Oryctolagus cuniculus: one gene and its partner. The protein of the gene in region 2 interacts with the protein of the main gene of each other region in a biochemical or structural test. Links are inferred from orthologs where the notes say so. Each region holds a gene or a part of one and is shown on either strand. Other genes may lie near its edges. The genes, in order: CKB and ARIH2.

Region 1 (4,504 bases), on a different chromosome or scaffold from region 2:
GATGATGGCCCAGGCACTCATGGTACTGTGGCCCTGCCACTCACGTGGGAGACCTGGATGGAGTTCTTGACTCCTGGCTTCGGCCTGGCCTAGCCCTGGCTGTTTTGGTCATTTGGGGAGGGTTAGGGTTAGGGTTAGCAGGTGGATATCTGTCTGTCACTCTGCCTTCCAATCTTTAAGAAAAACAAAAGGAACGGAGGCCAGTAGGCGGAACCAGGACCCCTGTGGCCTGGCTGTTGAAGGGAAGGCACCACGCAGAGACGGAGGGCAGGCCAAAACCCTGGTTTATTTCAGCATCAGCAACATCTTAGCCATCAAAAAAATAGACTCTACCGGGGGCGACACAAGTCTCTACAGCGAGGCTAAGGGCTCAGCCGCCGGGTGAACTTCGGGGTGCGTGTGGGCGCTGCCCGGGCAATAAGTTAGGAAGCGGGGCTGGTGGCAGGCACGGGCCGGCTTCACTTCTGGGCAGGCATGAGGTCGTCGATGGCCTGGCCCTGCTCCAGCCGCTGCTCCATCTCAATGAGCAGCTTCACGCCGTCCACCACCATCTGCACCAGCTCCACCTCGGAGAAGCCCAGGCGGTCGGCGTTGGAGACGTCAAAGACCCCGCCCACGGCGGCCGTGTCCACACCACCTGGGCATGGGAGACAGCCAGGTCAGAGAGAGGAGGACGTGGGGAGAGGGCTGCCTGCAGCCTCTGCCCCCCTCACCTGTGCCTCGCTTCTGAAGCCGCAGCCGCTTGAGCACCTCGGAGAACTTCTCGTGCTGGCCCAGGTGGGGCAGCTTGATGTGCACGCCTGCCCGCAGCCCCGTGCCCAGGTTGGAGGGGCAGGTGAGGATGTAGCCCAGGTGAGGGTTCCACATGAACTCGTAGTTCTTAGACTTGAAGAGCGTTTCGATCTGGAGGTGGTGGAGCACAGGGCATGAGGACGTGGCCTGAGGACGCCCGCGCCTGCGCTCTGGGGTCTGGGGTCTGCCCTGCCCCCGGCCCCGGCGCTGACCTGGGTGAGGCCATTGCAGAAGCGCGTGAACACCTCCTTCATGTTGCCACCCTTCTGCATGGAGATGACCCGGAGGTGGTCCTCCTCGTTGATCCACACCAGGAAGGTCTTGTTGTCATTGTGCCTGGAGGAGAGGCCCCGTCAGGGCGAGCCCCCCACTCCACCGGGGAAGGGGCTGCCTCGAGACCCCAGCCCCATCAACACTGCGGGAAACAGGGAGACCAGAGGGTGGGGGGCAGGGGCAGCACTCATCCCCCACCCAGGGGAAGCGCTGCTCCCTGAGCGCCGAGGCCCCCGGCGGCGGCTCCGCCCTCACTGGCAGGAAGCTCCTGCGTCACCCAGCACCTGCCAGAATCCCGAGGGGAACGGGAGCCAGGCGAGGGAGGTAGGGAAAACAAGACAACAAGGAGCCAGGGCCCTCGTCTGCGCCCCACGGAGGCTGAGGCTTCCGTCCACCCTGCGCGGCCAAGGTCACCTGCGCAGGACCGAGGCAGTACCAAACCGGGCGCACCCGGCCCCTCCCTCGGCCTCCTCGGCCACTGTGCGCCCCACTCCCGAGGGGAGCGGGGTGGCGAGCAGCGCAGGGGGCCACGCGCTCACCAAATACCGCGGGCGTCCGGCCAGTCGCGGGCCATGCCGGAGGCCAGCAGCAGGGGCGACACGGGCTTGTCGAAGAGGAAGTGGTCGTCGATGAGCTGCTGCTGCTCCGCCTCGGTCATGCTCTTGAGCGCGTAGTACCTGCCGGCCAGGTCGCCGTCCAGGCTGGACAGCGCTGCGGACAACAGCGGCGCACTGCTGAGCCCGCCCCGTCTGGGTGCCCGGCAGGGCCTCAGGGCCTCGGCCCCTCCGGACACGGGCAGGCGCAGACAAGGGCGCGGCGGCGGCTCGGGTGGCTGGTTAATAAGCGGGGAGGGGTGGTGCGGCTGACCCCCGCCCCTGGCGCCTACCTTCCACCGCCAGCTTCTCGACGGCGCGGCGCTCGCCGCGGCTGCAGTGCGGGGGCAGGCAGAAGCCCCGGATGCTGCGGCCAGTGCGCACCCGCGAGCTCAGCACGTAGTTAGGGTCCAGGTCGTCGCCGCCCTGGGTGCGGGGGCCAGGAGTGAGCGCCGGGATGCCTCCCCGCCCGCCGCCCGCCGCCCGCCGCCCGCGCGCGCACCTGCAGGTTGTCGGGGTTGAGGTCGGTCTTGTGCTCGTCGCTGGGCTTGTAGCCGCCGTGCCGGTCCTCGATGATGGGGTCGAAGAGCTCCTTGAACACCTCGTAGGACTCCTCGTCGCCCGCCACGCAGCCCACGGTCATGATGAACGGGTGGCCTGGGGGCGGGAGGAAGGCAGAGACGTCACCGCCAGGCCCGCGCGCGCCGCCGCCGCCGCCGGGGACCCCGGCCCGGGGATGCGCGTACCCGGGTTGTCGACGCCGGTCTGGATGACGTCGTCCAGCGTGAAGCCGCTGGGCGTGCTCTTGGCGCGCAGCTCGGCGTACATCTCGGGGGTCAGCACTTTGGCCATGTGGTTATTGTGGGCGCTCAGGTCGGGGAACTCGTCCTCGGCCGGGAAGCGCAGCTTCAGCGTGTTGTGGGTGTTGGAGAAGGGCATGGCGGCGGCAGCGGCGGACTGCGGGGAGACGCGGGTCAGCTAGCACCGCGCGCCCCGGCCGCTGGGCCCTGCAAACCACTCCCGGCGCCGCGGCCCAAAGCCCCGGAGCCCCCCAGACGCTGCCAAGGTCAGCGGGTCCACAGCGCGCGCGGAAGGCGCCTGCAATCGCCAGGGACCCTGGCGGGACCCCCCGCGCTCTCCAGGCGGCGCCGCGGCCCCCGGGGCCCCTCCGCACGCGACGCCACCGTCCCAGCCGTCCCTCGGGCCCCTCACCAGGCTGGCGGGCGGGCTGGGGGCTCGGTCTGCAGCTCCGGGCGCGGCGCTGGCGAACAGCGGCGGCTCCGCGCTCCCGAGGCTCTTAAGGGGCGCGATGCGGGCCGCCCATTGGCCGCTATTTATAGCCCATTCATTCCATTGGCCCGAGCAGCGGGGAGGTGCCGGGGCTTTGTCCGTCGCCTGCAGCCCCCGACACCCCGGACAGCCCCCCTCTGCTATGCCCTCGCCGGGACCCCGCGCTACCCGGCCACCCCGCCGGCTCCCGCCTGGGATCCCCGGCGCGGGACCCCGGTTCTTGGACATCTTGGGCCTCTCCCCCTCGCGCACTCACTGTATCGGCCGGGGAAACTGAGGCCCGAGAACCACCGGGCGCTGGAGGACGCTGGGGTCCTTGCCCACCCCACTCCCGCCTTTTCTCATCCCCGCCAGTCCCCGAGGTTGGCGGCGAGGGGCCGAGCGAAAGCGTCCGCGGCTTCCGCAGCCAGTGCTGCCCCCGGCCCGGCCCGGCCCAGCGGCCCGGAGCCGCCGACCTTCCTCAAGGTGCCTGCGGGCGTCTCCCGGGCGATCGGGTGCAGCGCTAGGCGCGGGAGGGGCGAGCTGGCTGCGGCCCAACCCCGCGGCGCCGCGGGGGCCGACCTTGGGCGAGTCCATGGGCTCCATCGAACCGGAGGAGACCCAGGGGCCCACTTCCTCCTAGGAGAGGGCACTCGCCCCGGGGCCTCCGCACCGGGCACGGCTTCCCAGCACCCCACCCGCAAGGCGGCCCAGAGGCGCTGGGCTAAGGTGGGGAGGAAGCCGGCCGCGGGAGGCTGAGGAAGCCTCACTAAGTCGGAATCCCGGAAATAAAACCACCCACCCAGGCTGGGGAAATCCAGGAGACACACCAACCCCAGGTGGGGGCCAGTTCCACTTCCTGCCCCCGGCATCCTTTTTGGAGAGTAACTTGGCAGTGTCCGTGAAAACAAAACATGTTCGAACTCTGTGACCCAGCCAGCCCACTTCTAGGAACGCAGCCACCCCGAGGACAGCCTCCGGGCTCTCCGCAAGCGGACCAGGTGACGCGGGAGTGGGAGTGAAATCGGAGAAGAGACCGGGTAGACCCTGGTGCCACCCTCGGGGCTGGCCAGGGTCTCGGGCATCTGCCTGGGAGGAGTATCAGGCGTCAGGCGAGCGGAGGCATCCTGTCCCTCCTTCACGGCGTAGGAGCCCGTATCTGCCTGCTTTTACAACCCCTCCTCCACACACAGCTGTGCCTGAGCACCTGAGGGGTGCCAGGTGCTGGGGACCACGTGGGCAGCACCGGGAGAAAGGGCACAGCCCTGCTGCTGGAGGGCGACCGTGAGTCCGCGTCGGGGTGCACTGGGGTGCCCGGGCAGCCCCCCGGCCAGCGCAGCAGCCCAGGCTTGAGGGGCACTGAGGAGGAGTCCCTGAAGGGAGGGCCCTGGAGCCGCGGCAGGTGCACAGGTGCAGAGCACAGGAGAGCGGGTCGGCCTCTGGCAGAGTGAGCCCTGGAGGGTGTGGTGTCCCCGGCCCAGGTCCCGGCCCTCGGCCGCTGCCGAGGGAATTCCTGCCTCCCCCCTCCCCCACCTTGGTATTCTGCGCTTCTTAGAGCCATAAAACCCAAGTAAAGA
Region 2 (3,798 bases):
GAGTGCAGGGACGGTTTTGCCTTACCAGCTTCTTCCTGGGTCCAGACTCCATGTAGTACGCATAGGGATAGGTGTATTGCAGAGTGTACCGACACTGCAGCAGGAGAGAAGAGAAGGGACCTGTGTCTGTGATTCTAACCTACCTCTACCTCAGGTGGCTCTGAAAACTCTTGCCCCACCATGCAGATTAACCTGGCTCTACAGGTCTGGGCTTCAAAGAATCAGAGCCAAGCCAAGGAGAAGATGGACTGGGGCAAGACATGGGGAAAGCAGAACAGAACTGATCACAGGACACCCACCTTTCCTTTTTCAAACTGTGATTTATTACCAGCACTGCCTCAGTGACTTCTCCTTCTTGGGTTGGACATCAGAGTCCACATATCTATCTCAATATTTGTCCGAAGACTATCTTTTCATTTTCCTTTGCACGACGCAGAGATGGGACAAAGGGAGAGGAAGGGGATTCTAGTTTTCCCTGCAGGCAGAGGCAGCAGAACACTATTCTTAGAAAGCCTCTGGGGCCGGCGCCGCGGCTCACTAGGCTAATCCTCCGCCTTGCGGCGCTGGCACACCGGGTTCTAGTCCCGGTCGGGGCGCCGGATTCTGTCCTGGTTGCCCCTCTTCCAGGCCAGCTCTCTGCTGTGGCCAGCGAGTGCAGTGGAGGATGGCCCAAGTGCTTGGGCCCTGCACCCCATGGGAGACCAGGAAAAGCTCCTGGCTCCTGCCATCGGATCAGCGCAGTGCGCCGGCTGCAGCACGCCAGCCGTGGCGGCCATTGGAGGGTGAACCAACGGCAAAGGAAGACCTTCCTCTCTGTCTCTCTCTCTCACTGTCCACTCTGCCTGTCAAAAAAAAAAAAAAAAAAAAAGCCTCTGACTTCCATCAAAGGACTGAGTCCCTCAAGGGCCCAGCACAAGGAAATGTGGGTCTGTCAGCAGAAGCACATTAGGCTGTGCAGGGTGCTAACGACTCCCACTCCCCACAAGACCTCCCACCCTCAGAGGTGTGCCCTGATGGGGGCCAGGCACTGGAGAGGGGATCCAAGAGTGAGGTGGTAGATACCTTGGCCAAGAGCTTGGCAGCGTTCTGTAGATACTGCCAGTCGATCCACGTCCCCAGGTTATTCATAACCCTCTCTTGAATCTTTTCATGAATCCGCTGGTATGTCTGCGCCTCTAGCTGCAAGCTTTTGTTGTGGTTTTCCCACTAGAGGGCACAGAGAGAAGGAGAAAGCTGCAGGAATCCCAGGAGGTCCACAAGTCCACAGGTCCACACACTCAGGACACACCTTTGGCTGGCAGGGCATGACGACAGACTCCTTGAACTTACGGGGAGTGTGTGTGGCCTCCACAGTGCAGGAAGGGCTTGCTTTCAGTGCACCCACGAGAACAGTTTCAGTAAACCCTCAGAACAGCTCTCTGCCTGCCCAAGTACTCCATCCCGCTGGGGAAACGGGACTCTGGCCCTGACAGCCAAGCAAAGCGGGGGCCCCCACTAGTCTACTGTGCTTAGGGACCAACTGTCATACTCTGACTTCTGAAGGGTCTCCCTGGGGGAAACCATTCCCTAATTCTGACCACTAAGAAGGCACTGGAGGGCCAGTGTTGCGGCGCAGTGGGTTAGGCTGCCATTCTATGGGCACCAGTTCATGCCCTGGCTGCTCCACTTCCATTTCAGCTCCCTGCTGTGGCCTGGGAAAGCAGTGGAAGATGGCCCAAGTGCTCGTGCCCCTTCACCCACAGGGGAGACCTAGGATAAAGCTCCTAGCTTTGGCCTGGCTCAGCCCTAGTCGTTGTAGGCATCTGGGGTGTAAATCAGCAGTTGGAAGATCTCTCTTTCTCTATTTTAAATATAAATAAATAATTTTTTTTAAAAGCACTGGAATGAAAACTGTCTAATGAGTCTTCATTATCCTTTCATCCATCGTTAACTGAGGTCAGTTCCCTGTCCCTCTCCAGCTGTGGCTACCCAGTAGAGCCTAAAAGGCACAGGTGTAGAGGTAGCACCAGGGCTACTGGCAGGAGCTTCATTCACTGCGTTCTCTATGCACAGGCTGGCTCTGGCTACCAGTCAGCCCAGTCAGCCCACCCAGGTAGGCTAACCACAGAAGCCCACCCTGGTGGGATGGGCACAGGAAAAGACGCCTACCCTCTCAAAGTAGAACAAGTACTTCTTGAGGGCCTCCCTGGCCTGGGCTTGCTGGCTTTGGTTGACAATGTCAGGATTCTCCTTGTACCGACTGCACTCATAGTATTCACTGCCATGAGTCTTCCAGTCTCCTAGACACATCCAGCAGAAGTCTGCACAGAACAAAGGGAGAGTCACTTATAGCCGTAAGACAAACCCACATCCCTCCAAGGCACTGGCAAAGCAGTGGGATGGACAGACCCGGAGGTATCACCTGACTAGAACATCCTGGCTGCCTCTTTCCAGAGGGAACATTACCTCGCATTATCCCTGAGGCCTGTCCTTGCTGATATGACAGCTTATGGATATTCACCATTCCATGAGCACATGCGCTCTGTGTCTATTAATTTCAACATAGGTAGGTGCAGACTATACAAGGACCACGGGCCTGCTGTGTCAGTACCACTATAAGAAGCAGAAATTTGTCCAACTGAAGCCCACCTGGTTGGCTACAACACACACCATCTGTATATCCTATCTCTCATCTTCCTAACACTTGACCTAGGAAGATGTTTGTATGTGAAGCTGGTCCTCTTCTTTTTTTTTTTTTTTTTTTTTTTAAGATTTATTTATTTAAAAGGCAGTGTTATAGGAGGAAGTGGGGGGCGGGGGGCAGATGGGAGAGAGAGAGAGAGAATATCTTCCATTAGTTGGTTCACGTTCCAAATGGCAGGGGCTTGACTAGCCTGAAGCCAGGAGACCAAAACTCCATCTGGGTCTCCTATGTGGGTAGAAGGAGTCCAAGTATTTGGGCCACCTTCTGCTGCTTTCCCAGGCACATGAGCAGGGAGCTCGATTGGAAGTGGAGCAAGTGGGACTTGAATCCACAGCCATATGGGATGCCAGCACTGCAAGTGGTGACTTAACCCACGGCACCTCAATGCCAGCACCTCCCTTCATTTTTTTTTTTTAAAGAAGATTTATTTATTTATTTATTAAAAGGCACAGAGACGGGCAAGGGAGGGAGGGAGAGAAAAGGGGAGAGGAAGGGCAGGTGGGGAGGTGCATGACTCTGCTTCCAAACTAAGGAAGCAAAAAGGAAAAATTTAAGATACCCTTATGGATGCCGTACATCCCAGGAATTACTACAGCCTAACGGAGCAGGGTCAACCACAGTTCATTTGTATGTCCAATAATGTAGATGATGTCCTGTCTGCAGAGCCCCTGACAGTGGTAGGTAAACTCTGCTTAGGCTCTTGTCAAGCTGTAGGGAAGCTAAAGCCAAACCCAGAGACCCAAAGGCTGTTCAACTTCTCCTGGGAGCCTTCATCTAACAGCGGCAATACTGCCCTCTCCCTGGCAACTTGTGCTTGCTACTGTTTCAAATACCGCATTGGCTAGGGTTGCTCCTATAAGCAGTATAATTAATTACACAGCAAAGCAAAGATCTGTAGTTAACTCAGAGTCTTGAGGGATGGGGAGGCTGACTGGGGAGAGGCACACAGGGAGCTTCTTAGAAATCAGCAATGTGCTGGGTCCTGGGCCCACCCTTCTTTAAACTCTGTGTGTGAATTATACACTGTCTCTCTCACTCACACACCTAGAAAGAGAGAGGAAATACGCCATTACTCTTGGCCCATCTTTGTTCTATACTTCAGTCACTGTTCCTGT

What was found.
Region 1: of the proteins of ARIH2 (region 2) and CKB, one has a biochemical effect on the other in vitro, tested with the Homo sapiens proteins (2 studies listed by BioGRID). The link is inferred for Oryctolagus cuniculus from reciprocal best matches to the Homo sapiens genes ARIH2 and CKB.

Annotation. Positions count from the first base shown.
Region 1 is NC_091451.1:46,359,643-46,364,146, forward strand, and holds CKB (creatine kinase B-type), read right to left. Parts: upstream 3,029-4,504; 5' UTR 2,871-3,028; intron 2,616-2,870; 5' UTR 2,598-2,615; coding exon 2,405-2,597; intron 2,316-2,404; coding exon 2,161-2,315; intron 2,085-2,160; coding exon 1,952-2,084; intron 1,777-1,951; coding exon 1,605-1,776; intron 1,129-1,604; coding exon 1,005-1,128; intron 904-1,004; coding exon 714-903; intron 638-713; coding exon 459-637; 3' UTR 267-458; downstream 1-266. UniProt on the Homo sapiens protein: Reversibly catalyzes the transfer of phosphate between ATP and various phosphogens (e.g. creatine phosphate).
Region 2 is NC_091441.1:100,171,699-100,175,496, forward strand, and holds part of ARIH2 (E3 ubiquitin-protein ligase ARIH2), read right to left. Parts: intron 2,301-3,798; coding exon 2,149-2,300; intron 1,207-2,148; coding exon 1,063-1,206; intron 121-1,062; coding exon of another isoform or gene 95-120; coding exon 26-94; intron 1-25.